4 linked regions of the Arabidopsis thaliana genome follow. The protein of the gene in region 3 interacts with the protein of the main gene of each other region in a pairwise test. Each region holds a gene or a part of one and is shown on either strand. Other genes may lie near its edges. The genes, in order: AT5G43540, LBD25, NAC066 and SUP.

Evidence for each region.
Region 1: the proteins of NAC066 (region 3) and AT5G43540 interact in a two-hybrid assay, tested with the Arabidopsis thaliana proteins (one large-scale study listed by BioGRID).
Region 2: the proteins of NAC066 (region 3) and LBD25 interact in a two-hybrid assay, tested with the Arabidopsis thaliana proteins (one large-scale study listed by BioGRID).
Region 4: the proteins of NAC066 (region 3) and SUP interact in a two-hybrid assay, tested with the Arabidopsis thaliana proteins (one large-scale study listed by BioGRID).

What each region holds. Positions count from the first base shown.
Region 1 is NC_003076.8:17,493,083-17,500,578, reverse strand, and holds AT5G43540 (C2H2 and C2HC zinc fingers superfamily protein), read right to left. Parts: upstream 3,725-7,496; 5' UTR 3,587-3,724; coding exon 3,173-3,586; 3' UTR 2,885-3,172; downstream 1-2,884. Other genes in the region: AT5G43550 (F-box associated ubiquitination effector family protein), read right to left, coding at 2,316-2,687; AT5G43530 (Helicase protein with RING/U-box domain-containing protein), read right to left, coding at 5,749-5,871, 5,970-6,068, 6,155-6,226, 6,319-6,889, 6,967-7,079, 7,209-7,308, 7,401-7,496.
Region 2 is NC_003074.8:10,235,237-10,244,088, reverse strand, and holds LBD25 (LOB domain-containing protein 25), read right to left. Parts: upstream 5,576-8,852; 5' UTR 5,359-5,575; coding exon 5,275-5,358; intron 4,139-5,274; coding exon 3,743-4,138; 3' UTR 3,441-3,742; downstream 1-3,440. Other genes in the region: OLEO4 (oleosin 4), read right to left, coding at 86-238; AT3G27640 (Transducin/WD40 repeat-like superfamily protein), read right to left, coding at 8,622-8,852.
Region 3 is NC_003074.8:22,925,706-22,933,778, forward strand, and holds NAC066 (NAC domain protein 66), read right to left. Parts: upstream 4,752-8,073; 5' UTR 4,703-4,751; coding exon 4,531-4,702; intron 4,321-4,530; coding exon 3,488-4,320; 3' UTR 3,301-3,487; downstream 1-3,300. Other genes in the region: AT3G61900 (SAUR-like auxin-responsive protein family), read left to right, coding at 108-410, 484-518, 602-674; AT3G61920 (UvrABC system protein C), read right to left, coding at 6,933-7,496. UniProt on the Arabidopsis thaliana protein: Transcription activator of genes involved in biosynthesis of secondary walls. Together with NST1, required for the secondary cell wall thickening of the anther endocethium, which is necessary for anther dehiscence.
Region 4 is NC_003074.8:8,238,775-8,246,806, reverse strand, and holds SUP (C2H2 and C2HC zinc fingers superfamily protein), read right to left. Parts: upstream 4,552-8,032; 5' UTR 4,304-4,551; coding exon 3,689-4,303; 3' UTR 3,435-3,688; downstream 1-3,434.

The sequences.
Region 1 (7,496 bases), on a different chromosome or scaffold from region 3:
CGACGCCGTGTAGATCGAAGCAAACCTGGAGATGATTGAAGAAAGAGCTTGGAGATCGTTAGAATGAGATTTTAATGGAAGCTCGCTCTCTTCAAGATTCTAGAGAGAGAGATAAAAAAAGAGACGGAAGAGAGAGAAATGGAGAGATTGTAAGAAAGAAGAAAAAACACAGCGAAACAGAGAGAACAAATTTTAACCTTAAATTTAATTTGTTTTAATAGTTATTTTTTCATTCATGACATATTTATATATAACGTTCATGTTTTCATTTCTGCTCTGTTCTTTTTTTATCCATTTTGTATTACAAGAGAAAGAGATGAAATCATCAATATGGTAATAAGAAAACTAATGTCTTTTCTTGTCATCAATTAGTTTAATCTATATTTTCATAAAAAGGCAAACGAAAGATTTATTATTTTTTTACTTAAAACTTAAAAGAGAAATTTTATGTATATTTAAAAATATATCCGAGAAAAATTATTTTATATATTAAAGTATTTAACAGAATAACCAAACGAGATATTAGCGTTTTGAAATATGTATATCAAGAGGAAAATATTTTACATATTAAGTATATAACGGAATAAACAAACAAAATTTCTGTTTTTTGTGATCTTTTCTTAATATTCTATGTAAATTTTGCGGAAAATATTTTATATATCAAAATTATCTAACGGAATAAATCTACGAGATATACATATTTTACTTAAGAGAAAACAATTGTTACATTTAAAAAAAATTACATAAATCAAGCGGATAATTATTATGTATACATTAAAAGCATCTAACGGAATAACCAAACGAAATTCATGTTTACTTAAGAAAACAAAATGTTACCTTTTAAAAAAATCCACGTGAATCATGCGGGAAAATATTTTATATATTTCAATTATTTAACGGAATAAAACAAACGAGATATTAACGTTTTACTTAAAAAAAATTTGTCTTTTTTGTCAAGAAGAAAAATAGTTGTTATCTAATGGAATAATCAAACAAAATTCATGTTTTACTATAAAAAAAAAACTATTGTTAACTTTTAAAAAAATTCCACCTGGATCATGCAGAGAAATATCTTATATATTAAAAAATACTTAACTTTGTTTTGTTTTGTTAAAGAGTTTTATTAAAGTACTTAACATACTAAATAAACGGTATATTAATGTTTCACTAAAGAAAAAAAAATTGTTATCTCTTTAAAAAATCGCATAAATGATAGATTACACGAACACTGATTTTATATCAAAGTAATATTTTGAGATTATTAATTTATAAATAACAGATTAGGACTTGTATTTGTGTTGATAAATTATATTTATTTTTTCAAGTTATATATCTGTATTTTGTACCACTATTTTTCATTTTTTGTTTGTCTCATGTCGATGTCTAAACTCTTTTTTAAACACTCTCTCATATTTATTAGACATCTCGATATTAATAAGTATATTTAATAAATAAAAAAATTCAGCAGAAAATTAAAAAATAGTAAATTTGATGTCACCTAATTATGAATTACATGTAAGCTTAGTTACTTTTCCTCTTGAGTTACTTTTATATCATGATAATTAGCTTATTTTAGTGCCTTTTAATGTCTGTATACATAAGTAAATTAATATTTGTAAATATGTATTTTGAGGGGAAAAAAAAATAATTTACAGTCATTGGAATTTGGTAGATTCGAAGGGCTTGAAAGCAAATTACTTGAAATTGAAAGATAAGAACTTTGAATGGGCTATAAGCCGTTCGTAACCCATTATCGTTATAAGCCCATCTAAAGAAATGCCGTATTTGCGTTGACCATTCAAACTGAATGAAAATATTAATTTACAGTCATTGTAATTTGGTAAACTCGTGCTTCATTTACATTAGGTGATCACCATGAGTCCATGACTAATGGTAGACGTAGTTGTGGCGTTCGAGAAAACAAACGGCTAAAAGGAGTCCATGAACAAGTAACCAAACTACAAAAAACGATTTGAAACGGCTAAAAATGAAAATAGAAGCTAATGAACTTATGGTAGAGTAGAACTTAGAACTTACAAGTACATAAGATTCTCAATGTGACCAGGGAAACACAAAATCCTAGGAGCATGTTTACCAATTCCATTGATATGTCTAAACTCATAATCGGCGATTCCATCAATCTCAACCTCAATTCTTCTGATGATACTCTCTCTGACCATATCGAAATAGTAAACAAAAAAGTGCTTAGATGACTTTAAGCATCTAGATACCACTACAACCTCGTTGTTATGACTCTCTCCACTGCACAAAGATAGCTCCTTGTCACAAGGCACAACACAAGTCATGATGCTTGACTATTCTTCTTTCTCAACATCGTGTAGAATCCATACACGCAACTTAGATTCACAATAGGAGTCATAGCTTACACATGCTAATTTTCCTTTGTAATTTGTAAGGGTTGAATAACATGAGATTGCATTATAATCCTCTGGTGCTTGAATAAACATTATCTTCTCGGATCTAATATTAAATCTAGCTATCTTTGTATGTCCAACACCATAGTATATAGCACTATTGATGCAAATCCCACCTTCTAAGTAGGAGTAAGCATCTCCCGAGATCTCGATCTTTCTCCACGACGATGAGTGTGATGTTAGTGATAAAACCAGATGCTCTTGTTCTATAACGTATTGTCTATGGCCGTCGTCACACTTAAGGAACATCATCACACACAAAATTTTGTATTGATCATCGACAGGATCGTATCCGAGACGTGTGTAGATGTCTCTTCCGTTGGCTTTAACATGGGGCAATACCACCAAACCGCCAGTGGTGGGATTAAAAACCGCAATCCTAGAACCACGGGTGCAGCATATTAATCCGTTTACAGGGGACAGATTTTCTATTTGCCAAATTTTTTTATATATAGAATGCGAAGATCTGGACAATTAATTAATTATGGGACAGATTTCACTATGTTATGGAAAAAAACTATAATGAAAATAATATGATATAAGATAAAAGATTTATATATATCTCATAGATAGATCACAAAACATGCATAAATAAATACCCACCAAAAATATCTTACCTTGACATATTATAGTCTCATATACGCTTTCCTAGATTACATATATCAACCTCGAAAACCATATAATATACACCAAAAAAACGTATTATTATACATCTATAGAGGGTAAGAAGTTGATGATCATAAGCCAAGACGCAGCTCCAAATCGATTTCATTTCCTTCAACGACGACGTTTTCTCTCCTTGTAGCCATCGAGCCGATTCGTAAGTGTTGGATGTAGTTCGAGGTCGTCGTCCTCAACACGACGGAGTCTACTTGCTCGTAGCCTCCAAGGTCAGACGCCACGTGGAAACATCTATGAGTTTGCGAGAGTGCCACGTCAGCATCGTTTTGCACCTTGGCCTTGTTGAGACGGTCACGTCGATGGATGTTCATATGACCACCTAAAGCTTGTGCGTTTGTGAAACCTCTTTTGCAGAAAGTGCACTCGTACATTCGTCTCGTCACGGTGGAGACTGACGACGACGACGTACGACGGTGCCTGACTGCTCCGGTTTCTGATGACGTGGACGACGATGATCTCTCACACTCCATATATATATATATATATGTGTGTGTTGCCTCGATCGATCGAGGGATATATATTTTGAAGAAATATTGATACCCGAAATATAGGACTTTAAGGGAAGATGAAAGATGAAAGAGTTGTCAAATGTGTTGAGTGCATATAAGGATGGTTTATATGATAGAGGAAACAAAATTTATATATAAGACTAATAATACTTTTCTTGATGTGTGTTTATATGTTTGGAAGACATGATTTGGCTTTTTCTTTCTTCGTATATTTATGTACCAATTTTTTCTTATAACTATCACCGTATTTGAAGGATTTATTTATTTATTTATTCTCATGTATTATTTATATCTAGATTATAAATGTAGCCTATTATTAATTATTAACTTGCTAATAATAGAAAGTTTATATAGCTAAATCTAAGAGGCAAAATAAATTTATACCACTAGAAGGTATTGCTCCTCAAAAATTACGTTTAGACCATGTTATTCAATTGGTTCTCTAGTAAATCAGTGAAAAAATATATTTATTTTGTGAGTAGTGATGATCTCACAATTATCTAAAACTTTTACAGTTTTGTTTCCAACAAAAATACACATGTAGAATAAATTATAAGATTATGATTTTTTAATCAGTAAAACAATATTTACTATCGTCTCTAGTAGTTTTGTTTACAATACAATACTCGTATATAAACACAAAGCAACGAACATAAAACAAAATATATATCGAAAGAGACATAACAAATTAAAGATTTGATTATAAATCAGATAAAACCAATCCTCACATTAATCCAGTTAACTGAAATCCAAATCAACTTCAACTAAACTCTTCAATTAGTCCACAAAATTACAAGAAATGATGACAATTAAAAGGCAAGGGAGTGGTTTAAATCAATCGTGTTATTATATTTTAATTTATAAAATATTCCTTTTGTGTTTGTCTTGTAATAATCTAACCTTTTATCGCAAAACGTTTTTAAAAGTTAGGTCTCGATTGACTGCTTACTTTTTCTACTACAAAATATCACAACGATCATTTTTTACTAAAACAAAAACAATATTTTGATGAAAACGAATTATCATAATTCATAAGTCATAAACTTTCAAAAATTTATCAAAGAGATAAAGATAACATAGACATAATAGAGTACAAAACTAAACTTTAGTTTATGGGCTAAAAATAAATATTAGCTTAGGTGATCGTAAATAGTATTTTCTTGATTAAACAGCTCGAAAAAATGAAGATGTCATTTGATTGCAACTCGAGTACACTGATTCGTTTAATTACTGCCACATCATTGATTGATTACGTTACATGTACACCTAATCCGGTTTGTTTGGGTTTGGTCTGCTTTCCATCATTAGTTTAGAATCCTAGTTCCACAACATTCCGCAAAAAGCACCAGTGGTCTAGTGGCATGATAGTACCCTGCCACGGTACAGACCCGGGTTCAATTCCCGGCTGGTGCACTTTTTGTTACTTTAGTGATTTTTTTTTTCCTTTTTTCTTACATTACGTTTCCAGGCTGGATGTTCGTCTCTCTATATAATTTGGTTGCAACCTGCAAATATATTTGTATACACTAGTACTTTTTGATTCATGACTAGATTCATCGGATAGACGAAAATCGACAAAACCTAACATATTTGTTAAGTAGCTTATGTAGATTGTAGCTATATCATACTCATACAATATTTGCATAGGAAAAATCTGGCTTCTGAAATTTGATTATGTAGCTTTGGCAGTGCCGTATTTTACACGTAGTTTGTTACGGAACAATATAAGACAAAATCATTAGAATCTTGCTTGTAGGTTACGGCACTTAGTTTAGTAGTTACTCATCTGCAGAAGCAGAGGAATGGTGAGAAAAACTTGACCAGATTTGTTGCCACATCTTTCTTTGACCCACTGATCTAAACCACTGAAGCTGCTTTTTCCAAACTGGTTTCTTTTTTTTTGTCTGTTTTTCTGATCGTAACTGATGTTTCAAAATTACATAATCCACGTTCAACTGTTCATATACACAATATGTGGATCGAGACAATCAGTGTTCAAAATTACTTATAACTCATTAGGGGAGAAAGATAAATAACTTGTACCAATATTTACATGAAAAAAAACAAAAAGAAGACTCTCTAACTTCAAAAGACGATTAAAAAGAAGACTTTCTCCAAGTCTCTCATCGGAACAACATTTTAAGCTCCTCAAGTCTTGCAGACCGGACTTCTTCATCTGTCAAAGCTCCGGCAATCATCCTCTGCTTCCTTGCCTGAACTTGCTGCATCCGTTCCTCCACTGTATCCTGCACACAATCATCCAAAACAAACACAATGTTACTTACTTACGAGATCTTGCTTACGATGCTAGAAACTCAGAGAAAGTTGCAGTTTATAGTGTTACCTTGACAATGAATCTTCTGACGAATACCGTTCGTTTCTGCCCTATTCGATGAATTCTCATGATCGCTTGCTCTTCCACCGCTGGATTCCACCATGGATCCTACGTATTTCAAGAAACATAACCAAATGATCAATTCATCATCATCAAGAAGACTTAAAAAAACAAAGCTTGAAGAGAGATGGTACCATTAAGAAGACACTTGAAGCTGCAGTTAGATTCAGACCGACTCCTCCAGCTTTCAGAGACATAAGCAGAATCTGTAATACATCACAGAAGCAGAAGCATAAAGATCTTAAGCTCTCTGTTCGATTTGGACAAGAGTTAGTTAGAAATTTAGACAATGACTTACCGTTTTCTGTTTGGTTTCATTGAACTCTTTCAAAACCTTTTCTCTTCCCTTCTGAGCCAGCTTCCCATCGAATCTAAGAAACTCAAATCCTCTTCTTCGCAATGGAATCTCCAAAAGATCCAAAAATGAAGTCCACTGGCTAAAGACAATGCTCTTCTCGCCCGAACCAGATTTCTTGATCTTCTCTAAGCACTTGAGCAGCTCCGAAACCTTTGAAGACTCCTTCCAGTTCTTTACCACATCAACACGGAATATACTATCTGTCGGGCATGAGATAAGTTCGGTTCTCTTCAGGATTGTCCTGCAGATTGGGCATAGACCACAAGATGGAGAGCGCCAGCTAGTAAGGAGACATTCACGGCACATTCTGTGAGCACAAGGTGTGAGAACGGGATCATCTGCAGACTCCAGACATATTGGACATTCTTTGCTATTGCCATCGCGTAAATCTTGGATAACTTCTTCGATATATGCCCGAGAAGGAGCATTTTGGGAAACAGAGTCAGGGTTGTTATCAAGAAACCTCCTTGCAAGGCTATCTAAGTCAGCGTACTGTTGTGAATCTGCTCGGCTGCAATTTATTTCCAGGTATAAGAATCCATTTCAATGGAAATAAAAGAGTTTATTGAATGATTTTTTGCTTTGTACCTCATAACTAGAAAAGGGTGGTTACAACATTGGCGTAGACGGAGGAGGAGCTCGAGGATGTTTGCATAGTTGTGAAGAACTTTTCCTTGTGCCACAAACTGGTCAAATTGGACCTGTTCCAAAATAAAGGAGAATGTTATGCATTTACCAAAGCATCAAGAACCATTACAACAGATCATAATCAATCTTATAACAGACTTTATTGAGCTTGAAGCCTATAACTATAAGTTGATAACACTTACTTTGGATCTCTTGAACAAGGCTGTATAGAAGTCACGTTCTGCTTCAGATTGTTCACATTCAATGACTTGGACGTCGGTTGGAGGAAGTTCAAGAATTAGACTGAGAATTTGCAGAAAAGGTAGTGGAAAGTTAAGCATAAGACAAGCAAAAGAAAAGAGAAAAAGGGGACTAAAACAAAGAAAAAAACTAACCTTCCTTCTTTGTCCCTTGTTTCCTTTGTTCTTCTCAGCATCAATGGCCTCAAAATCGCCTTGATCAGCTTCAGTCCTCGTGGATCACCATTTTCA
Region 2 (8,852 bases), about 13 Mb from region 3:
AATGAATTTACAGAAAATCTTCAAATAGTTTGGAGAGCGTGATCATAGGAAAACACAAGAAAAACTAAAGAGACCACAAAAATACTTGGTTAGTGGAGGGGCCGCGACTCTTATAATCAGAACCAGCACCATAACCGCCATAGCCACCAAAACCGACATCATCTTCGTAGTTTGGCTGATGAACACGTTTGTCAGTACGGTCTACATGCACACGCCGATCACGATCCACATTCGCCATGTCGATTGATATGATATAAAACTATAAAGTAAAGGCTAAGAGCAAACAAATTAAAGGGGGTATATAGAGATAAGTCTACGAGAACGTACATATAAATGGGATTGAAATATATTTGTTGGTAATAAAAAGGAGATATGGAGTGAAGAGAAGACGACACGTAAGAATGTGTTGAAGGGAGAGGTGTGGCTTTGCATGATTTCCAAGTTTCATTTTTTACCTGATCATCTTTTCGTTCTTCTCTCCACCGTACAAAAACAAACAAAACATTCATTTTACAATTGCTCTCCTCTCGATGCACTTAATTAGCTTGTGTGTCGGAAAAACATCTTCCCTTTTTGTATTTATCCTTTTTTCACAGTTGTATATATGACTCCTATATCCGGTTAATTCAACCCGCTAACCAAATATTTTCACTAACTGTACCTTTATATCTAATCCAAGTTTCGAAATAAATATAATTACCATACTACATTAAGAAAACACCTCTTAATGTGTTACTTAATGTTGCCGTAGCCGTGTGTAGTATGCACCAACTAGCAAATAACTTGTCGTTGACGACCCTTTTAGTAGTTTGCTTTGCTAGCTTAGGTATGAATGTAGGATGATGTATAAAGGTATAGTAACGATAACGGATGATTTATAAATACAAGAGTATATATGAAGCATTTTATTAGTAATGAAAATTAATTAGATTTATTGTACTGTATATAGAATTTTAGGCTTTCAAATGCTAATAACAGATTGGACAGCATGCATGTGAAACAAAAATAAGGATGAAGAATATTATTATGATTTTAATTTTACTTGATTTCCACAACTCTTAAGAGCTGAAATTCCATCATAGCTGAAATTAGTATAATTTTTTACTGTAGTAAATTTATTTTTACGGTTAATGGTTATAGTTCTTAATTAGTTTATATGTTTAGAGTCTGGTTACAGTTTAGAAATATTGGTCCAGTTACAGTCTGGAATGGTTTAGTTTTGGTAGCGAGTGGCTTTAGTAGTACCATTTTTCTTACGGAGGTCTTAATCAAAGAAGAAGAAAAACTAGTCGAATCAATCAATTCGGGTAGGCAGTCCATGGAACAAGGCTTTTTCATTTGTTTCTGTTATTAGACCTTTCTATTTTGATTATAAGCTATTGGGCGGTTTAGTGGTGGTCTACTGTTACTTGATAACGAGAGGACAACTCTCTCTCACTTTCTCTTGGTCTGCAAAATGGGCCCAGTATGATCCATTTGACGTTTTCTTTGTGTGATCTTCACCTTTTTAACGATGAGATTGATTTCAAACTTGGATTTAACCTGTAAAAAGTTATGTCTATTTGCTCAAATAGCAAGTACTAAAACAGTAGGTTTTCTATACATGGGGACACTAGTACAATAGTTTCTCTTGATTATTATATGGTCACAAGTCCACTTCTTGAATATACAAAAGTTTAATTGTAAGAATAATGTGTGAGAAAAAATAAACTATAGATTTTTCTTTCTCAATTGCATAAGATAAGAATTTTTGTTGAAAATATAAGGATTTGTTATCATTGTTTAGTTTTCTTTGAAATCAACATTTATAGTGACACAATACCATCAATTAGCACAAACTACTACACTTTATTTCATGATTAGTTATTTAGGTATTGTATAAAAAAAGATATCATCGATGAGAAAAGAAAAATTATGAGAGATTTTAGGGAGAATGAAAGTGATGGAAGGAATAATTGAGGAAAAGTCTTTAAATGAGTACAATTTGATATGATTTATCACATGGCAAAACAATCATATTTCTGCAGTAGATAGTGATAGTGTGATAATAAAAAAATATAATGTTGTTTAAAAAGAGTTAAACAAATGAATGTACCTTTAGTTACTGTTTCTGAAACTGACTCATGTTTGTTTGGTACACAAATCTTGAATCCCCCTGTCTCGTCGACATGTAATTTGTTAATCCACGCATGGAAGTCAAAGAACTCTACGTATGACTATTTGTCCTGCATAATTGGCATTCAATATATCAACATGTGAACAATATATACACATTCGACTAGATGCTCGTTAACTTTTTTTTTTTTTGGACAAAAGATGCTTGTTAACTAACTCAATTGATTCTCTTAAAATTGTCGCTATTTGTTCCAAGCACAATTGATGTAAAGAGTATTACAGCATAAATATGATGCGTCATTTGGTATTTCTTTGGGCAATTTTGTAACCAATAAATAGAGTGGTACAAAAAAAAACGACATAACAGTAAAAATAACGAAATAATTTCAAAAAATAAGTGGTAAAAAGTAGTACTAGTACAAAAGTAATAGTGTTACTGGTTTTGGCATCACTAATTTTTATTATTAACAATAAAATGATTAGGATAAAACAATCGGGTTATATATGAGTTTTGTTTAGTTATTTGCTACTTGACTTGTATTTAAAAGTATATAAATTATATTAATTATTACTTGTATCGACAAGGATATAGACTTGTTTTTCAAAACAGATATGAGGCAAATAATGGATACAGGATCGAGTAACAAATAATCGTGCTTAGCCCTACCCGAAACTATACCGTATCTTAAGATACATGAATAATTGAGCTTTTGGTTTAACTTATTATTAGGGTATCATCATACTCAATCTTAAAAAACTATAAGCAATCTTACTCATCAAAAAGAAAAGTTCCATTTGTTATTTTCTTCTTTTGACAAGATTAGTTGATTTGTATGTAAATATATGTGGTTGTTAGTTCGCCCCAAATGACATAAAATTATAAAAGGACCGACTTTAAAAAGAGATTCCCTATGAAGACATGTGCCTAAATTAAAGCTACAAAATTTTGGTGTTTCTAAATTGATTAATTTATTTAAACTTTTTTCAAGTCGACAAATATATAAAATCACTCAATTAACTTAAAATATTAGCAACTTTGTGTTTCTGACCAGTGACTAGTGTGTGTAATCAAACAACCAATTATTAGCCTACATTCCTATGAGTCTATACAAAACCGTCGACATGAAATTTTATTCTTTTGAATATCATAATACAATAGTAATATTGCAATCACAATTCGTTGAATGCAACTTTATAAAATGCTAGAAAATCTGTCATTAATCAATGAAATATGTGTACATACATAATTTAGAACATAAATCTTTTAGCAGAAACTAAAAAACTTGTGAATAATGACCAATGGGCCACATGTAAATCAGTGGAGCTAGATCAAGTTAAAGAGAGTTATGGAGATATGAGCATGAGCAAGATCTAGTTATTCAACATCATCAAAAATATTCCTTGACCTCTCCCATGAAAAAAAAATTACAAGTTAAATTACACATACGCATAAGTATATACATGAAAATAAACATAAATATACATGCATGCATGTCCCCATATTTACACATATATACATACGACTAATAACACTTACCATCACATCAACCATCCTCTCTCTCTTTATACTTCTCCGCCGCTAATTTTCTCAAAGAGTGATGATGACTAATCAACTCTCGTTGACCAGTCAACCCCTCCGACCACCATAAGCCGACGTCGTTTCACCACCGAGACAACCAGCGTACCTCATGAGATCAGCATTTGTCTCCTCGAGTTCCCTTTGCAACCTCAAGACCTGTCTTTGGAGCACCGAGATCGCTCCAACGCAGCCATACACTGGATCTTTAAGTCGTGCTTCCGCCTCGTAAGCCAGCGAGTTGACCGCATCTTCCCGCTGATGGGGAGCCACTTCGTGGAGGATCTTGCTCACATTGCTTGCCCCGAATATCCGGTGGACGTTCGCAAACTTTGTAGGTTCCTCCGGCGGAAAATAGGGTGCGAATACGCAGTCTGACGTGCATTTACGCCGGAGGAATTTGCATGCTGCACACGGTGAGTTTGTGTAGTTCGACATATATATCCCCTGATTTTTCAGTTGCAAAAAAATGGCAAAAACGATTTAATCACATCATAGTATCTTATTAGTAATTCTCGAAACTACAGTATAAGATTGATATGAATTTTGATCCATATCGATCGATATTGTAATTCTCTGGAGTCTCTTCTTCTTCTATATACATCAATTATCAATATCTTATCAACAATATGTCTACGTACACTTTTTAAAAATTGATACAGTTTCAAATGTTTTATTTCCATTTTGAATTTGGTAACTAGCAAAGTAGCAATAAAATGGTATCATCATCAATACAATATAACTTACAAGACGTATGATGTTCTTAGTCTTTTAATCCTCAAAATTCATTATATTCTACGTAAAATGGTAACTAGAAATAATAGTCTCATCATCAATATAACTTAGAAGACGTATGATGCATGTTCCTATCTTATTATCCTTAAAATTCATTATTCATAGTGTTCTTTCTGCGTCAAAAAGATGTTATACCACCTAAATTTATATTTCAAATATATCTCAAACAAATATATACATCCTTGTCTAATGAATTAATTTTACATAATTATAAAATCTTGGGAAATTGAGAATAATCCATACTAAAAAGTTATTGGTGAATCTAACACACAAGACGATTATGGGAAATTATATAAACTTGTGTAACATTACACATTAAAATGTAAACGTCCATATGATATTCATAGTAATATGAAGAAAATGGGTGTCGGAAATTCGAATTACTCACACAGGTTTTACGTTTTAGAGCTAGTATTAGTTCTAAACAAACAAACAACATGTTCTCATCAAAGCACTCTCTGTCTCTCTGACTCTGAGTTCCCCACATGTACTACATATTAGTTTGAATCTTGAATTTATGACCGAGTTTTATTACCTGCTATATAGGATACTTTCACTGTATATTAGAAGTCCCGAATTCCTGATTTCACTTTCAATTGTAACTTCTTCTTTCTTTTGTAAAGAAAAAAGGTCGTCCAAATTATAACTTGGTAGTTCAAGACCAGTGATCAAATTTTCATGATCTAAACTCTCTAAATTTATATAATCAATCAACATATATAGAAAGTATATATATTATGCAAGTGTGAGTGAATTGGCTGTACAGAATGAAAAACTCTTGGTCTTACCTTTAAATGGATCGCAACAAGAAAAGGTCCTTCCTTGATAACTTCTTGAGAAGGTTTGATCTTCTTTGTTTCTCTCTTGGGCATTAATTATAAGAAAGGAGAATGAAAAATCTTCAAGTAGATTTTGCAATTATTGGGATATTTTTGTTGTTTTCAGAGAGGAAACCCTAGTTTGAGAGAAAGAGGAATCTCTCTAAGGGGAAAGTTAGAGAGATAAAGAGGAGACATGGGTTGGATATAGAGAGAGAGGGGCAAAAGGCATTTTTGGTGCGATGAGAAAGAGAAAGAAGATGAATATAATGAGATTACAAAAAGACAAATTGGCCTCAATTAATTGAGGACCTAAAATAGTGAACTTAAGAAAGAATAACTCTGACCGTGGCAAATTTTACTCCATTCAATTGCTTTTAGTAAATAACTAAATATACAACATATTTTCTATCTTATTTTTAATTTTGACAGCATAACGTATTTTCTATTAAATTTTAAAAAACTAATTTATAATTTTTGTCAACTAATTTATTAAAAAGAAAAAAATTAAACGAGCCATTAGTATATAATATTGTTTATATATGTGATATGATACGGTTCAGTAAGTATGTAAAATATAAAAGCGATAATTTGTCATGAAAAAATACTCTTTTATTATGTAACTTAAGAATATATGAGATAATTTAACAATGAAAGAAAATCAAATGATAGTAAACCAATACTTTCATGTATTTAAATTAAGGTACAGCCATATACCCTCAGGAGTCCGAACCATTTTATAAAGAAACTAATGATAAACCTTAATTAGTAAGCTATTAGTATTATTTATTTAAAACTAATGATAAACCTTAATTAGTAAGCTATTAGTATTATTTATTTACCTTTGACCTTTCCACGTTTTATTATTCCGTAAAAAAAAAATGTTTGTGAAGTCTTTGGACCACTTAAATATATTGTTTAAACTAAATTTCAGAAAGTTTTGGGATACAAACTTACAAGAACATCAGAACTATTGAGGATCTGAGCAAATCCGACATGTGTACTGTCATTTTGCTTGATTGAATTTAACTGTTAACGTCTTGATTTTACTGTTTACATTTCTGAAAAATAGTTATTAACTTTTACGTTCTTTTAATTAGTTGATGTGTTCATTCAAAAAATTTGACATACCCTGATGGTTGAGCCACATGCTTGAATCCAAAAAAAAAAAAAAGTTTCTATAGTGCATAACAAAGAAAAGAAAAAACTGTAATCAATTTCTATTTAAAATTATACCGTCATTTTCAACGAATATAGATACCATTCACAAAAAAGGTTGTTGTTTGTTGGATAACTCTTGTGGTTGTATTATAGATCTTATATTTCCTATAATTAAAATATTTAGCGACTTAGCATAGTATTGGTCAGCTACAACTTTAATCATCCAACGAAATTAAGACCTAAAAGATATACCAAACAAAGTAGTTGATATATAATTATATATCCTTTCTAATCCAAGTGCACTTACAAAATTAAAATGATATATATAAGTGATGATGATACCAAGGCATTATTGTTTCCATAAACATATATATGCTTCATATTCCATATAAGTGCAATATTTGGTAGCAAGTGCGTATATAGATTATACCAATGATTAGATAAGATAATCAATCATTGGCAAGCATTATTTTACGTATTTCTTGTAACGATACTTTACGTATTTCCTGATTAGATTTCAGTGTATACAGATATGCTTCATATAGTATGTGTACAAAGAAAGTATAAAAATAATAGAAAATTGAAAGAAAAAGTGAAGAAAATATGAAAAGAGAAGGACCAATTCAGATCGGAAAAGAAGAAGCACTTGAATACGCATGCATACAAATATCCCTATACGGCTATACATAAATATATAAGATCAGGCCTGGCGAATGAAAATGTATGTCTCTTATCGTGTATATAAAATAAGCTAATGTGGGTCGACCAAAAAAAGCCAAGACGTCCAAGAAACGAAGAAGCCAAGATAGTGTGTGTGCTAATTAATTATGTATCCATTTTAGAAGAATTCATGTATATGCATAATGCATCATGTATGTATCATGCATGCACCTAGAAGTCCTATAACTAGAAGTCGGTATACTTTAATTATCAATTGGACAATTGGGATAACAAAACCTGGTAAGTTCTCTATATACATATATAAACTTTATAAATAAATAAATAAATGGTTTAAATGTAAGTATAGCGTATACGAATAATGAAAATTAAAAGTGATGTTATACGTTAAATTTTTCGAACTAAAAATTTTCGATAATTATTTTGAAAGGAAATTTGACAATAGCTTAAATCCTAGAGAAAATTGCATGGTTGTTACAACAAAATTTATACAGGATATGATCGATTAACTAACGAATGAATCCTATTAATTGCGATTACTTTTGAGATTAATTTATACCTAGCTTGATCTCAAGTTTGTATCAACCCATAAAACCAAATGTACTTTTGTGATTTAGTTATCATAGGTTGGGGTTTTGTGGATTGGTTGTTGACGAAATGTATAATACAGAAAAATGTCGACGGAATGATTGCAAGTCAAGTGTGATATGTCCTCAACAATCATTACATAAGCACAATTATTTGATCAAAATTTATTTAGAAATAATGCACCTCTTCTCTTCTTTTGTTTTTGGCTACACACCTCCTTTCATTTCACCAAAAAAACACACACACCCTTTCTTACTTTATTTTTGTTAAACACCTATTTTCTTATTACATTATACATATACATCGAACCCAATATATACGATTAGTTTTAGTGATGTCCACTCTTATTGTCAAGTGTCAACTATATTTTATTTTATTTTGCTAATAATTCAACTAATTATTTCATGTTTTTTAAGATCATAGTATTTGCAACCAATGATAAAATTTAGAAGAGCAATTAAGAAAATAGCAATGGAACAAATAAATTATTTGTGTAAATTTTCTGACATGTTTGGATGACCTTTATACTTCATTGTTATGACCTATGTAATATTTTCCTTTAACATGTTTTGTATGTAAACGGTCTAATTTATTATATGGATGTTAGATTAAAGTATTTCGGATTTAGAATTTACCTTTTGTTAGAACGACATATCATAAATTACGTTCACATAAAGAATGACATGGTACATGAAACATCCCTGCTTCGTTACGGTTAAATGAAATATATCAAATTGGAAAGATTGGTATTAGTTTTGTCATATTGCCATTTGCTTTTAATAGTTTCTGATTTACTTCCTACAAAACTATCAGATATCAACCCGAATCTAATAAACCTTACAATTTCTATACAATAACCTTTGAACAAGAATTGGCAAAGAGATTAGTGTTTAGGGAGTGACGAGAAAATAATCTCTAATGGTTCGCCTTTTGACTGAGGAAGGAGGGTTTAGTACAGAGGATGGACTGTTGAATGTGGTTTCTGGTGTTCTCTCGCATATTATATCTTCTTCTGATGATAATGATGACAATGATGATGATGATGATGTTTTCTTCTTCTGAGACTCTGGAGTTCTAATGATAGGCATTGACTGATCATTATTATAATCATCATCTGATGA
Region 3 (8,073 bases):
TTAAATTCGCTCCACCTCCACTAGTAGAGACCCTTGGCCTTTCTCTCCCGTTCTCTAGAAATTTTGTTCCCTCTTACTCTTCTTATTTCTTCATCGTCTTCGGAGTAATGGGTTCCGGAGAAAAAATCCTCAAGAGCGTCCATTCAAACCGTCCCAATAACGTGAAAAGCAATAGCAAACATGGGATCAAAGATGTGCCAAAAGGGTGTTTAGCAATCAAAGTGGGATCAAAAGAAGAGGAGAAACAGAGATTTGTTGTTCCTGTTTTTTATTTTAACCATCCATTGTTCATGCAACTCCTAAGGGAAGCAGAGGAAGAGTATGGATTCGAGCAGAAAGGTACCATCACAATCCCTTGCCACGTGGAAGTTTTTCGATATGTTCAAGACATGATCAACAGAGAGAGATCGGTTAATTACCACAACAACCATCATGATCATCGTCATAATCAAAGTCATAATCATCTTGTTGGATGTTTTAGAGCTTGATGATGATGATGATGCAAGCAAGCAAACGGGGTGTAAAAATTTGCGTTTCATATTTAGTTTCTTCTTTTTGTTTTGTTTTTCCTTTCTTTTCTAATGGGTTTGATCTTGTGGAGTTGTGGAGCCAAACACGGCCTAACCCACAAGATTAGGAGTAGAAGTTCTAGTGGTGTTTGGAAATATCCATAAATATAAATAAGTGTGAGATTATAAATTAATTGTTCGTATAATTTTTCTTGTGATATATGTTTATCCGATTGATGGTAGCGAGAGATGACGAACAAGTTTTGGCAATTTGCGTATATGATATTTTTGTTAAGAGACGTATAAATTTGAAAACTGTCACTAATAAATAAATACCCTTATTACGACAAAAACAAATTAATTCCCTTATTATATCTGTTAGGAGAAAAAAGAAGAAGAGATTCTCCGTTGATTTCAAATTTTATCTTTTTTTTGTATCTTTCTGTTGTAACGGCCAGTTTCGACATCGCATTAAATTTTATTGACCCGAAAAACAAATCTATTTTTCCATATAGACTACGTTACAGATAAAGAAAATATTTGTCCTCAGAGAGTTTAGAAAAGAAATCTCTTTCTATAAATAATGACCTAATTTATTTGATTTTAAGAAATACTTAAAACGAATATAGAGATAATAAGAAAATTAAGTTATTGTACTCGATATTTCCAAAGATATGAATAACGGAATGGAAGAAAAAGTCGGCAAAAATGGGCACCTCTAGGCATGAAAATAAGTCTCTTCTAATCGATGTCTTTACTCAATGTTCTAATCCAAAAAAAAAACAAGTCTTTACTCAATGCGTTAATTCCAAAGATTATACTACCCTTTTCAATACAAACCAGTCAACCAACCACTAGGCATGAAAACTAAAGAAAGTCCAAGAAGTTTTTTTTTTTTTTTTTCACTTTCTTTTTTGTGTATTGGCTTCCAACACAAATACATAACTATGTTAATATAATTTTTGCGAGTACTGTAGTTTTTACCCCATTTTAAAAGAATCATTTTGATTATTATTTATGTGTGATATCTCTGTAACAAAGAGATACTATGGTGTTCTTTATATCAAAGTAGAAAAGTTAAAAAGTAAACGATATACACATTCATTAGTTGTTTGAACTCTGGAGATTCCCCCAAATTCCCGTAAGCAAAGGAGTACGAATACGAATCCACTCAAGCCAAACGATCATCAGTCATCAATCACATGTAATAAGTGGCCTGGATTCATTTGTCGGTCGAGTGTGTCGCTATTAGTGGAAAGCCTTTATTAATTTGTTAAATAATGCTTATAACAATAATTAGCATACCTTTTTTATAAATAATATGCCCTTTCTTATTCCTGTGTTTATTTTTTTAATTCTTTTTTACATTAGTAGTCAGTGAAAGATTACTTGAAACTAATCCATAAAGGGCACAAAATTAGCAATATATACTATATGTTTCGTGTGTTAAATCATACGGCTTTTTGTGAAGTCGGAATTTCCATTGTGTTGTTTACTTCATCAAACAGTTTACGTGAGAGAAGAGGACGTGATGATGCGAGAAAATTATACGAAAATCAAAGTATATTTACATATTCAAGCCGTACCACAACCGAACATTAATTAGTACTTTAAAATCCTATACCGTATATTATATTTGTCAATTCCTAATAAGGGAATAACAAAGAGAAAAAAACAAGGTCTCACAAATTTAAAATTCACGAATTAAGACATCGAGTGGACCTACACTCACAGTCCATTTGATGTCGTTATTGACCTATTAATAAAATGGGCCTGGCCCAATATACTTGTGGTACAATTAATACCAAGCAGAACTCACATGTAACAGCCCACACATTTTTGATATTTCCAATATTTTTTATTAAGGTTTAACCCAAAAAATAAAAAATAAATAACAGTGAGGATATTTGAGAAATCCTCCATTTTGCATCAGCTAAGGTCAAAGAGAAAAGAGAAAAATTAATGCCTCGAATTCAAGTTTCATGTAATTGTTGCGTTTAGTATTTACAACATGATCAATATCAATACATCATTATAATAAATCGAATCTAATTTCAGAAAGCTAAAGTGGAAAATGAAAGGTCAAAACGTTACAGTTATGGAGTCTGTTACTAATATTATCACATGATAAAAAGAAAGATGAGAATATTTGAATCCTCCATTTTTCTTCAAAAGTAAGATTCCGCACCTTGAAAGAGATTATTCAACAATAAGAACGAATACTGTTTGATTAAATGCTATAATTGAAAAATAATGAGTGTGATTAGCTTTGATGGGTAGGTTAATTAGCTACTATTATTAAGCACTTGGTGCATCTTAATCCAAGTTTGTTGGGGTGATTAATTGGGTAATTAATCTATTCCTAATGATGAATGAAGCAAACTATTCAACATCAAACTAAGCATTTACCAACTAAATATCTCAAGTTTCTAGTAAATAAAACTTCAGTTTAATTGAGAGTAAAATGAGAAACTTTGAATAATTAACGTAATGGAAATCATCTGTTCCTAAAGTTAATTTGTCGACGAATTAATTATCATTTTGGTCTTTTGTCTCTCTTGAAATCATAATCAACTTTTGGTCAAAATCCTTTTTTCATATAATTGTAATTAGAAAACACCCGGCGATGCATGTGACAGACTATGATTTCTTACAGTAGAAAATGTAATTGCCTTTTTGTTCATCGAATGGCAATTAAGTTTCAAAAAGACAAAAACTAATATTCTTGATCCAAAGAAATTCAACTATGCAACCAATTCTTTTCTATAAAGTTAATCATGATATAAAATGTACACAGATATAGAGAACTTTTATTTTCTGTAATGATATCACATAACTACGTACTGTAATTATCACAATCTGACCATTTATACCGTAAAAGTTTCAACAACTATATATATGGTATGATGATTATTATATCTTTCTACACAATGTTTTGGTATGTCACTCACTTAGTCACTTCCTCTCTTCCATTTCCGTTATCCACTACCGTTCAACAAGTGGCATGTCGTTCTCGCGAAATCTGCCTCGTTCCATAAATCAATCTCCGGTATATAGTAATCTGGTGTTAAACCGGTATTACAACCGGACCGGTTCAGTCCATGATACGGTGATTGTGAAGTCTCATTAACGGCTGGTATTGAATACGAGTTGGGCCCATTTAACTGTGAGGCAACGAGCCGATCCAAAGCGGCCCAGCTAGTGATGAAGCTGGGATCCATAACTTTGCTGACGTGGCAGTTGTTGACTTGGTCGTCGATTAACCACTGATAACTCGTGATGGTGGTGTTGTTATGGCATTCGAGGTTAGGGAGTTTTAAGAAAGGGTCTAAAACTATCTCTCCTTTACAAGATTGCCCCATAACTTCGAGAAGTTGCTCGATAGTCTCCTCATTGAACGACGGCGTTTTCACCGAACTCGCCGGGCTACTACTAATCATGTTTTTGCAAAGGTTATTTTTCTTGAAAACACGACACACCACCCATCCTTCGTCACTTCCTATGACATCACACGTTTCTACGTTGACGTCATGATCGCCACACGAGGAGATTAATACACTCTCGTCGAGTCTATATTCGTGCATGATCCAATCGGATTTCTGACCATGAGGGGCTCGACCTTTGTAGAAGACAAGCGTCTTTCGCATCCCGATTCTATCACCATTGGTATATATGGTCTTGTCACGTCCCGTCGCTTTCCAAAATCCGACCGTGGTGGCTCTGTTGGTTCTAGTCCCGGTGGGATACTTCTTGTCCTTATGGCTATAAAAGTACCAATCGTTTTGCGGCGTCGTTCCAATCTTACACATCTCTACATAGAAAAAACAAGAGTTGTGTTAAGTTTTGACTGAATTTTGTTACTGCAAATTTTATTATCACAAAAAGTATATATTACTCTGCAAAATTTCCTGAATTCAGAGCTTTAGTTCTTGACTCAACACATGCATTAAAAAACTAATTTAATTAATATATACAAGCCCTATTAATACGTTTCATCAAGAATAAAAGATAAATGATGAACCTTGAATATCCCAAGGCTCGAGCTTGTTGAGATCAATGTCAGGAATAACATCGAGATCGATCTTGATGTTAGAGATTTTCTTGCGGAGGTAATACTTCAAGAGCTCTTCCTCGGTTGGGTGAAACCTAAAGCCAGGAGGTACTTGTGACTGTCCGTTTACTGATATGTTCATTGCTAAAGATAGAAAAAGGAGAAGAAAATAGAACGAGTTTATAACTAACCAAAGTATGTCTATATATATGTGTATATTTTTTACATCAACTCTGCAAAAAAATAAATAATAGTACATGCATGAGAAAATGCATGTGTTCTTTTGCTCTCATATTTTTAATTCCTTTGTTAAGTTTTCTTTTTAACAGTGGAGTATTATTTTTCCGAATATTTGATGTTTTCATTATAAGTTCGCATGAGCCGCCACTTACAATTAAACATATGAGCCTCTAAGAGCTTGTTTTAATAATTTGAAAATGTCTGTTTTATACTCATAGTGAATGCACTTCTCGAAAAATTACTCCCTATGAGTTTTTACTTAATTCTTAGTTCATACCAAGTATATCCAGCCAAAACAAAAAAAAAAAAGTATATCGATCAAGCTTCTTCGGCCTTTGGTTTTGCCGACTTTTCGCTCTACTAATTGCCTAGATTAGCATGTTAGTTTTGTTTTGTTTTTGCTTTTATCCAGAAATCTCTCGTAATGGTTGATTCGTCATGAGTTCACCTAGTATTTAAAAATCTATCTATTTTTCTGCATGATTCAGTATCTCTTTAACAAAGAAAAAAAATATGATTCAGTAAATTAGATCCGTTATAAATACAATGTTGCAATATTTCATCTAATAAAAGTTATAGTAATGTCTCTCTTTTTTTTTTATTTTTTTTTGGGTCAAATATACTAATGGTCTCTTTATTAAACATCGAAATTATTTGCTCTTTTTGTCCGGTGAAATTGTTTATGGCAATTTCGGAATAGTGCGTGAGAGAGAGCGGTGGGACCATGCACGTAGCTATTGGGTAAAAATATGGTCCACGCGGGATCCACATATCAACTATAATGTAGGAAGCAAGCCCACATCGCTCCGATGACCCTCGACCTTAAAAATCTCTATGGACAAGACATTCCTCATTTTATTTTTATTTTATATAGAAACGAATAGTGTTAACAAAAAAAGTGAATGAAGGGTGATGGCAACAAAAAATGTATGTGATGTGATGAAGAAAGACTTTATACATTATTGTGTTAAATACGACTTTAAAGCTCGTAGCTTGTTCTTGTTGAAGGTGATGCGAAGATAATGATATACTACATGATAATCCACAACCTCCTTAGAAGATGGAGAGAAAGAAAGAGATTAAGATCTGATTCAAGAAGCGTTTATCAAATATATGTGAAGTTAACATTGCAACGAATGTCTAAGATTCGAATATTGTGCATGTGGTTCACTCGAACTAATCATAAAGTTAACCTATCTGGTATTCAGGAAACGACGGTGGATTCGATTCATCCAAATTAAAATTTTAAATTATTGTATTAATTTAAACTTGAATGACGGCATGAATCTAGATGAACAGTTGTTTACAACTGTAAGCGAGGAGGTATCTACGTATGTTGTAGATTTTGTGGGGGCCTATTTACAAAAGGTTATTTTCTGAATTTCCTTTTTCTTACACATGGTTTTGAGATTATAATAGATTAATACGCAAGGGCCGTTCAAATTTGCCATGTGCTATAGGATAACATTGTTAATAAAAAATTAAATCATGAGATTAAAATTTTGAGTTAATGAATATTCTGAAATGTCTTTTTCATTTTTCTAACATGGTTCTGAGTTTATAGCAGAGTAATATATAATCTGATTAAAACGAACGTTGTTGCGGCACGGAGCTATGATAAATTGATGATAATTAGTGACAAAAAACTAAAATGATATAATTGAAGTATTACAAATCGTAATTTTTCTAGAAGATGAAGGAAGTTTGCATGGGAAGCAATCTTAATTTGAGGTGTTTCAAAATTTATTAAACCCTTAATGGTGAGACGTCATATAACTATATATATTAGCACTCGTGCTTGTCGGACTTATAACTTTAGCCTAATCTTAAACTGTTTCTGGCCAGCTTTGTGTCATTGGGCCTGAAATAAAAGAGTTTCTCCCTTTTGTTTTGCTCTTCTAGACTTTTGGCATTGAATAGGGAAGATTAAATAATCTCTAACTACGAGTCTACGACTTCATAAATTAATTGTTTCATGAGAGATAACAATGATATTTCAAATATATCTACGTTGATAAACTTATATAATCGTTCCAAGTCTTCAATGAATACGGAAATCAACATACTAATTTAAATGCTTAAATCGTGAAACAGATTAAAACATAAACGTAGTTTATTCATAATTCGAAATTTTACCACAATTTCCCTTTAAAGCTACTCGTAACGCTTAGCTGGTCTGAATTCGCTCTCGAATGAACTCCTCCGCCGCAGCCGTAACCGCCACACTTCGCCACCGTCCTCACACTTTCCACCAACGCTTCCGTTTCCACATCCTCCGCAAGAATTTCCGCCAACTGCTCCGGACTTATCACAAGCCTCACCTTCCACACTCCACAACCACCGCCACTCAAAGCCGCCATTATCGGCGTCTTCCCGAAAGACATTCTGTACGGCGTTGATAGTTGGTCGGAGGAATCCAGTTGAGCGGTCGCGGCTGCGGAAGAAGAAAGAGGAAGGAGGTAGTAGATGTTACCGGGAAAGAGTTCTTCGCCGTGGAGAAGCGGTGGAGATGAGTGGCGGAGGCTTAAAGAGTCGTGGATGACATGGCCGGGAAATTCGTTGGTGATGAATTCGGCGAAGATGGGAGGATGAAGCTCCATCACGCCACCGTTTGGAGTCACCACTTTTATCAACGAATCATCTTTATCGTATAATTTTCTTGAACCACCATTGCCTTTGAATACGCAGTTACCCATTTTTGCTACATAAGTTAGAAATAATAACTGATTATTTTGTGTATATGTAATGTATGGAATCCAAAGAAAACCCCAAGACGGAGAAGGGTTTAAGACAAACGTTTTCTTTGAGCAGATGAAGTATATATCTTTACGACGTAAAGAAAAAATGAAAATTGCGAATGGTCCACCACTTTTCTTGTAAACAAAAGGACCGAAGATATTGTGCTTGCGATATTATCATCATTACTATTATTTTAGTCTTTGAAAGATAAATGATTATTATTTTTGGTTATTTGAGAATTGAGAGTAATTGGCAATGGTCTGTTTGTAGAACAATTGACAACAAGTAGAAAACATTTGAAGGTAAAATAAAAAATGAACTAATTTCTGTAGAATAATTGGCAGATTAATAAATAAAATAAAACCTTATCTAAACAAATTACAAAAAGTAAGATAAATGGTTTTCCTTAACCTATTTTCCATTTAGAAAGGTAAGTGATAGGGGTAATAATGTTCACGTGAGGTCAAAAGGTGAAAAGGCCGACAGAGACAAAAAGACTTTAATCTTTGTAAAATTATTATGGATGATTAATGA
Region 4 (8,032 bases), about 15 Mb from region 3:
GCCCAAACTAAATATAGTGATGGCCAGAGAAAACTAGAGTGAATACATAAGTCTAATGATAATGTGGTGATATATTGTTAAGTAAAACCATTAAACTACAAACACTGGTCCACGTAATCTGATTTCAGAAAATAATTCTAAAAATTTAACGAACATCAATAATGAAAATTTAACCCAAATCAACACTGAAATATTTAATAGTTCCAAAGTGGACAATTTTGTTTTGCGAAATTTATTAATCAAATTTTTGTTCCTGCTGTGAGCGGAAAAAGTGCTAATGAGAATGAAAAAAAAATGAAAAGGGAAGAAATGGATTTTTTATATATAGAAGAATGTGAATATATCTGAAACCAAAAATCAAAAAAGTTTTGATTGGAAGTGGAAGACCTAACTGCCCATTCATCGACTAAAAATGAGAGAAAGAGAACCAAATTGTGTGTGACAAGTTGTAGCTCTTCATTTAGTCATTTTTCAACATTCTGATGCTGAAAAAATATAAATTATATTATACGATTTGTATAACGAATTTAGCATATAAGCACATTAAATATTTGAGTAATTGTAATAATACCCTGGCATCAATTAGTATATCTATGATTGTTCACATAATTAAGAAATAGTGCTTGATGACCAAATAAAATGTGATATTTGCCTAACTTGTTACTTAATTTGTTCATCAACTTGTTATCTAATACTTCATATGAAAGTATCACTTTTATTTTTAATACTACGTACGTTCTGGTATTATTAATACCAATATGTGCCCATGTCTATCTCCACTTTCACAAAAATAACAACAAAGATGAGCTTCTCCTTTGCCTATTTGTCTTTACAATTTTCTATGTGTTTTCATTGTCTTATGACGTCATCATATCAAAGTCATTCAATGTGATGGCCTGAGCCTCACGTTGCAGCCCTAGTGCCCCTTTGGGCTCTTCTTTTATATCTGCTCATTTATATATTTACTTCATTACTTGAATGTACAATGTCACACTATGATATAACTTCCGATTATTATTCATGACTTTAATTACTGACATGCATGCACACATGCATACATTATGTGAAAAGATCTTGACATCACTTGACATTATGTACGGACTATAGAGCTTTATTAGATATAGTCGAGTCCGTAGAGATGGATGATGGATATATTATATTAATATGTAGTGGCTAATGTGCTTGTAAAGAGGCTAAAGATACCAAGTCCTGCCGGGATAGCTTTAGAGATACAATTTTTTCCATATATTTGGATTTGAATGTTATTAATTTTGTTGATGATCTGTTGTTATTATCCTTGTCTCACATATTTTTCAATGACTCAAAATATATGTCTCTATATAAGATACTTTTATAACGGTGTTCTTACAACTGAAATTATAATGTAAACTTTTGTAGCTGTTGAAATTGTTGAAGCGTTTTCATTAAATGGTTTAGAAAATAAAGAAATTATGGATTTAAGTCGTGCTAATGGTTTGCTATCTTTTTTTTTTTTTTTTTTTTGGTTTGCTATCTTTACAGTTGCCAGACCACTCAAATTTGAATCTGCGTTAATTTTTTGTACTAAGATGAATTATTAACTTATTATATGTAAATAATGAAGAAATATTTCGGAAAATTCAATGAAAAAGAGAGATGATCAAATAGATGAAGAAAAAGAATAGATGAAGAAATTAAGAATTAATAATAACGGTGCGTAGACATTTGAAGTGGCTGGTGTTTGAGTATGTGAAAAAGTGTTGAGGAAAAACTTTAATGCTTTTCAAGGAAAGTAATAATTTGGTGGAGGAGTTTGTACTGTTTAGTTATGTGTAACGCTTAGAACTGACGAAAACATAACTTACTATAAAAGGAAAGCTCATCATGCCATTCAAAACCCAGACATTGTCGGGAACATGCAAACCCTCAGGTTTTGGGGAATACCAAACTTCCAGCATATATACCCTCTTGTCCAAATCCAACTATGGTCGTCACATACACAAGTGTTGCGTATCTGTGTTACTGATTTAAGAGATTTTAATATCTTCCTATAGTTTTGTATGATTTGTTCCGTACGTGTTGACCTTTTCAAACCAAAAGAAAAAGAAAAAGATTAAGGAAATATATGGCGATCGAGTAAATTATGACATGTTTACAGATTTTGCACTCATGAAACTGAAATATGCTTTGGGAATTGTTTTCTAATAATGATTTGTTACCCTCAGTGCAATGATTCAGTCAAAAATATTTATATTTTTGTACAATTAGTCAAGATCACACGCAAACACAGTTTCTATTCAACCCATTCAGATTTGAAATAAATTGATAAATTATCATACAAAAGTCAAAATGACAAAAACTAACCAAAAATGCTATGAGTGTCAAGAGTTTGAAGAAACTGAAAGCCCTCTTTTCGTATTCACAAACAACAGAAGCCTTGATTTGTGGTAAGCATATTCAAATGCTTAAATATTAAATTTAATTTCTAGTGTGCCAACCGAAAATTCATATACATATAAACGTGATATCTGATACTAACAAAGTTGCAAAAGCTCCTTATCAGAAAAAGACATAGTTGCAAATGATATATACATGTGAAGATTCATACTCCATCAAATAACATGTTCTTTTTCATAAATGATATTCTATTAAATTAAATTAGTATCTCTATAGCAGAAAAAATAAGAAGATAGAAACCCTAAGTACACGAAGAATTACTAATAAAATGAAAATTTCTATTTAGTATGTTCCACGAAACTATCTATTTCGAATCTTACTAGCCCGTTTGTTAATTGTTACCTAAAAAGGTAGGTTAGATGTGTTAGTTCGAAGGAGATTAAGACAGTGTCCAATTTGCTTGACGATATATGATCAGCATATATAGGCACTATATGAAGTGCGAATTTTAAGTTTTGAAACTAGTGAATCGTTCCAAGGCAGAACTCATTGATATGTTTTACTTTTTTCTTATATATGCCCTTGTATAGGAATTCAATTTGAAGTAGCTAGCAAATTTAGTTTCATCTAGATGCGACCTACAAGTTCCACTACCGTAGTAGAGATGAAAGATATGGATTGAACAAGTAGATTAAAAAAAGTATAACAAACGATCCCTCTCCAAAAGATCAACTATGTTTTCGGTTAAAAGAATAATCATTACTTTTATAAAGCATGCTATTTTGTAGTTCTTCATACATATTATATTAAAAAAAAGATCTAATATATCTATCTAACTATGTTGTTATTATTGAAAACTGTGCAATTGTATATAGGCTGCCCCAATATATATATATATATATATATATATATTTACTTATTTATTTGCACGCAAAAGATAAAAATAAATTATCAATCTTCAGAAAACAAAAAACAAAACAAAAAGTAAACTAAGTCTAACATATCAATTTACATGAAACGTAAGAACTAAAATATGTAGAAATTTATATACGATCGAAGAGATAAACAATAATTAAGGAGACAAAATTGTATCCATTGTCATACATAAAACGGTAACAAGCGCATACATATTATATAACATCTAACGCAAGCTTATAGCTTATACTATAATCATATAATCAACTATAACGTTCTACTAAATAGCAAGCTTAGAGAATTTCATATGGATGAAACTAATTAACCTTAGAGAAGCATCATATCTTCTAGAATTGTGAACTTCGAATCCTTTATGGATAAAGTTATTACCATCTAATTAAGCGAAACCCAAACGGAGTTCTAGATCCAGATCTTGCTCTGATTCGTTAATCAAACCAATCTCAAGCTCCAAGCTGATGATTTCATCATTCCTCAGGATCTTGCAAGCATCTTTACTGGTGAACCTTGTAGCCTCTCCAGCCTCCACTAAAAGAGATGATTTCTTAGTCTTACAAGCGTTTTCTGGTGTATGTTTTGACTTGGGGCTCAAGGAACGGATCAAACCTGCCCTATATCTTGGTGAGGATGGAGGAGAAAGGGTTGGAAATAGGGTTAGAGGAGAATGATGAGGAGGAGGAGAGTTTGCCATGGTTGAGTAAGAGTAATTAGGGTTAGGGTAAGGAGGAGAAGGTGTTGAAGATGATGATGGAGACTGTTGTAATCTGAGTCTTGCTCTGTCTCTTCTGTGAACATTCATGTGGCCACCAAGTGCTTGAGCCGATCTGAATTCCCTTTTGCAGAAGCTGCAAGTGTAGGATCTTGGTGGCCATGAAAACCCTAGAAGATAATCATGATCCTGTTGGCAATTATCATAATCTCCATAGCTCCATGGTGAAGTTCTTGCACGGCCATAGAAGCTGTTCCTCAACTCTATGCTGTTTGATCTCTCCATATGTGCAAGCTCTTTCTTTTTGGCTATGCTAGATAAAAAAATTGTAAAGATAATTAAGATAGTACTAGTAATGATTTGTGGTACATCAGTTTATAAAAGCAAAGTGTTTGTAAGATCTGAAAAGATGAACTCACTTTTTTCCCCTGGGAAAAATCTAAGATATATCTATGTCTGTCTGTCTCTTAGAGAGAGAGAGAGAGATATAGAGATGAGAGAGAGGTGTGTGTGATGATAGGGTTGGGGCTCTTTGGTGTTAAGACTGTGAAAGAGACTGATTCTTGGACGCATTATCAAATCCCCATCTTAGATTTAATAAAATGAAACTTTAAAGAAAAAGCTTTATTTATGTTGGGGTAAACATGTATTAAGCGAGCTTTTCCATGATTTGATCTATGGAGATGACACAAGTTAATTAAGTACATCTATTACTTTCATTTAATGATGTTACACCTTTAAGTTTCGTGAAAATCAACAACCAATTTTGTCTTAAGATACCATTCAGTGATTTTATGCTATCATGAAATAGTGTTTATAGTGTTATCTATTAAACATATTCACAATTTTAACGAGACCTAAAAGATATATGGAGTAAAGATAGCATATGTGTAATTAAGAAGGAAATGAAGTTAATATTGAGAGTCTGAACAATTTGTCAAACAATTTATAGATAAAATCCTCAAACAATTTGTCACAAATGAAAAAGAAAATCGCACTATCAAAAATATCTCAACATAAAATATGATTTTATTGAAAGGAAAAAGAAATAATAGAATGGGATGGGGAAAAAGAAGTAGAAATGAGTGTAGGATTTCACTTTACAAAAAAGAAAGTCAATTGTCTTGTAATCATGTTATGTAAAACAAGCATTGTGAAAATTTTATAAATAACCAAGTTATCGTTTTTGTATCGCAATCGAAACATGATGAAATCACAGAATATCAAACTTTTGTAACACCAACAAATTTAGCGACCAACAAATAAAACATTTCACAAGCAGTAGATACCATGAGAAAACACTATTTTTAATCATAATTTTCTCTTAAAGTAGTAGATATATGTTATTATTATAAAAGGTAGAGAGGAAAGAGTGATGGGTGAATATGTAAAAGATGGGAGTGTATAAATAAGGAAAACCTCGGCGAGCAAAAGGACATATTATATCAAAAGTTTTATACCAAAAATGGAAAAGTGGATGTTCCTTTCTCCCATTTTTCTTAAATACATTTAATATAGAATTTATCATCTATATGTATTAATAAAGCTTTCCTCGTGAGCCATATCTTGACATTTGTTTGTTAGCAAATCATAAATAACGACACACATTATTATTAAACTTAGGTCTTTAGATTTTGCCTTTCCTTCAAAGTTTTATATAATACTATATAGATTCATACATTGTCCCTTTCTTTTGTTTTATATAGTTAATATATCACCATGTGTTCTGGACCAATTCCTTTCAACATGTGTTGTGTTTGCTCAAATTGTGACCCTTTACTTGACATTGATTTCATCGTCGGCACATATCTATGTTTAATTTGGAGTTGTTTAATTATATATCTGGAACATTCTATGGGATGAAAATTAAATGTTTGAACTTGCTAAATTTTCCATTTTATGGTTCTATATAGAGGAATCTGTGAGGTATATAATATTGAAGGATCTAGGGAAATTTGAGGGGACAGATTATATGAATTGGGAAGCAACTCCTGTTGATTTTAAGAGATTTGTTTTGCGATATAATTAACCCGAGTCGAGCTGATCTTGAGTTTAATAACATCTGTGTTCTAAAATTTAAAATCGCATAAATTTGCGAAGATACGTAAAAACAAAAATATGTTTTGAAAATTCCTTAAATAAAATTAGATTTTAAAATACGGTTCATGCATGGTTTACATATGATTGATCTAGTGAAATTGAATGTAAGAATTTTATGTTTGAACTCTTTGGATAAAATAGATTTACTAGTAGGATTGTTAAAAGGCCAAACTGCAAATAGTTTGGAGGAACCGTACAAATGCAATTACAAAGCTCAACATTCACCAACGAGGAAAGTCTCATTTACTACACATTCAACTGCTTTATATATATATACCCAATATGTACACATTTCACAATTGTCGAAACACAAGAAATTATCTAACCATCTCGCCCCTTTTCAATCACTCCTCTCGTTGAAATCCAACTTTTGTTACATGTTACTACACTTCACCAATTGACAAAAAAAAAAAAAAAAAAAATCAGCTGAGCTTAATATTCGTAGAAGTCTTGTTTTATCTTCTAAATATGCTACTTAAGACAAAAAATAAATAATATATTTTACCCTTTTTTTTCGTCAAAATAATTCATAAAAAATCTGACCTGCTAGGAAAAGTGCCTTGATTAGTTTTTTTTTTTTTTTTTTTTTTTTTAAATCATTGATAACATTCCAAATGGGCTTGGGTTGAAGATTACAAGTATCTGATCCAGTTACAAAAGCCCAATAGAAAAAAGAAAACTATCGACGGAATTGAAGGATCGGACCCTTCTGATGGACGATTGCACGGTGGCCGGAGTCTTAGATCCGGTGAACCCGAAATCCCCAACTTCACGGCAACCACGGTGGATCGACGAGCCACAGGCGGAAGTGCCTTGATTAGTTATTCACGTCAGGAAGAGTATCTACTGAATAAATTAATACAACATACTCATACGGAATGATTAGACTCAAAGTATTGCGGAATTAACCAATGGATTTCTTAAGGTTCTCTGACTTGAAATTAAATTACTTTATACATTTTGTTTTTGTATTTTTCAAGATCCTTAAATTTATAATTTTACAACCACGCAAATGTAATATTGTTCTTCTGCGCGTCAGCAAAAATGTCTCTTTAACTCAAAGTTCTATATCAAAGTAATTAACATGTGTAACTTGTTTGCATGACACATGCCACATATAGTGGGACGGATTTTGGGCTGTTTGACACATATTAGTTGTGATCTTTGTACCATACTTAATGTTGTGGTAGATGTTATTAGTATATATTGTACGACGTTAATCTATTTAAATTAATAATAGTAGGTTCCAAATTAAGGACGATGAAGATGTTCAGGTGGATCATTGACGTTGTCTTTTACGGATTATCAATGTGCCGACTAATTAAAACTAATTCGATAAACGAATGAAAAAATGGCACTGGAATAAACCAAATGATATAAATACATCAACTATTTTACCATCAAACAAAAATCGATTTATTATGAGTCTTCTGAAAAAAATAAAAATAAAAATGGAAGTCTTAAGCAAAATAAATTTAATATACTTAAAGACATTTTTTTTTTACTATACTACAATATTAAAACATAGTAAATGAGTTGTCACTAATCTTTTGCTAAAAGAAAATGGATTTCTTAACCTAATAGCTAGTAATGATCGCCTATCCATAGTAAATTTAGAATTGCATGACTCTTTCTAGTTTCTACGAAGTCCAACTAAAAAGAAATGTCACACCACCAATTTAAAAAGGTATAGCAAAAGAAAAAGTTCCCCGTTTATTTCCAATATTTTTCGGTTCTCTATCATTAATTTTCACTTATCCAAAATTTATAATAACCTGAAATGATCTGTTACCTGGTGAATGGAGTGAAAAAGATGGGAAATTTTCGGACAGAGAGAGTGGAATTAGACAAAAGATTCTGCCAAAATTAGAAGATGATATCTCTCATCATCGATAGGACACATCCAACGGCTGA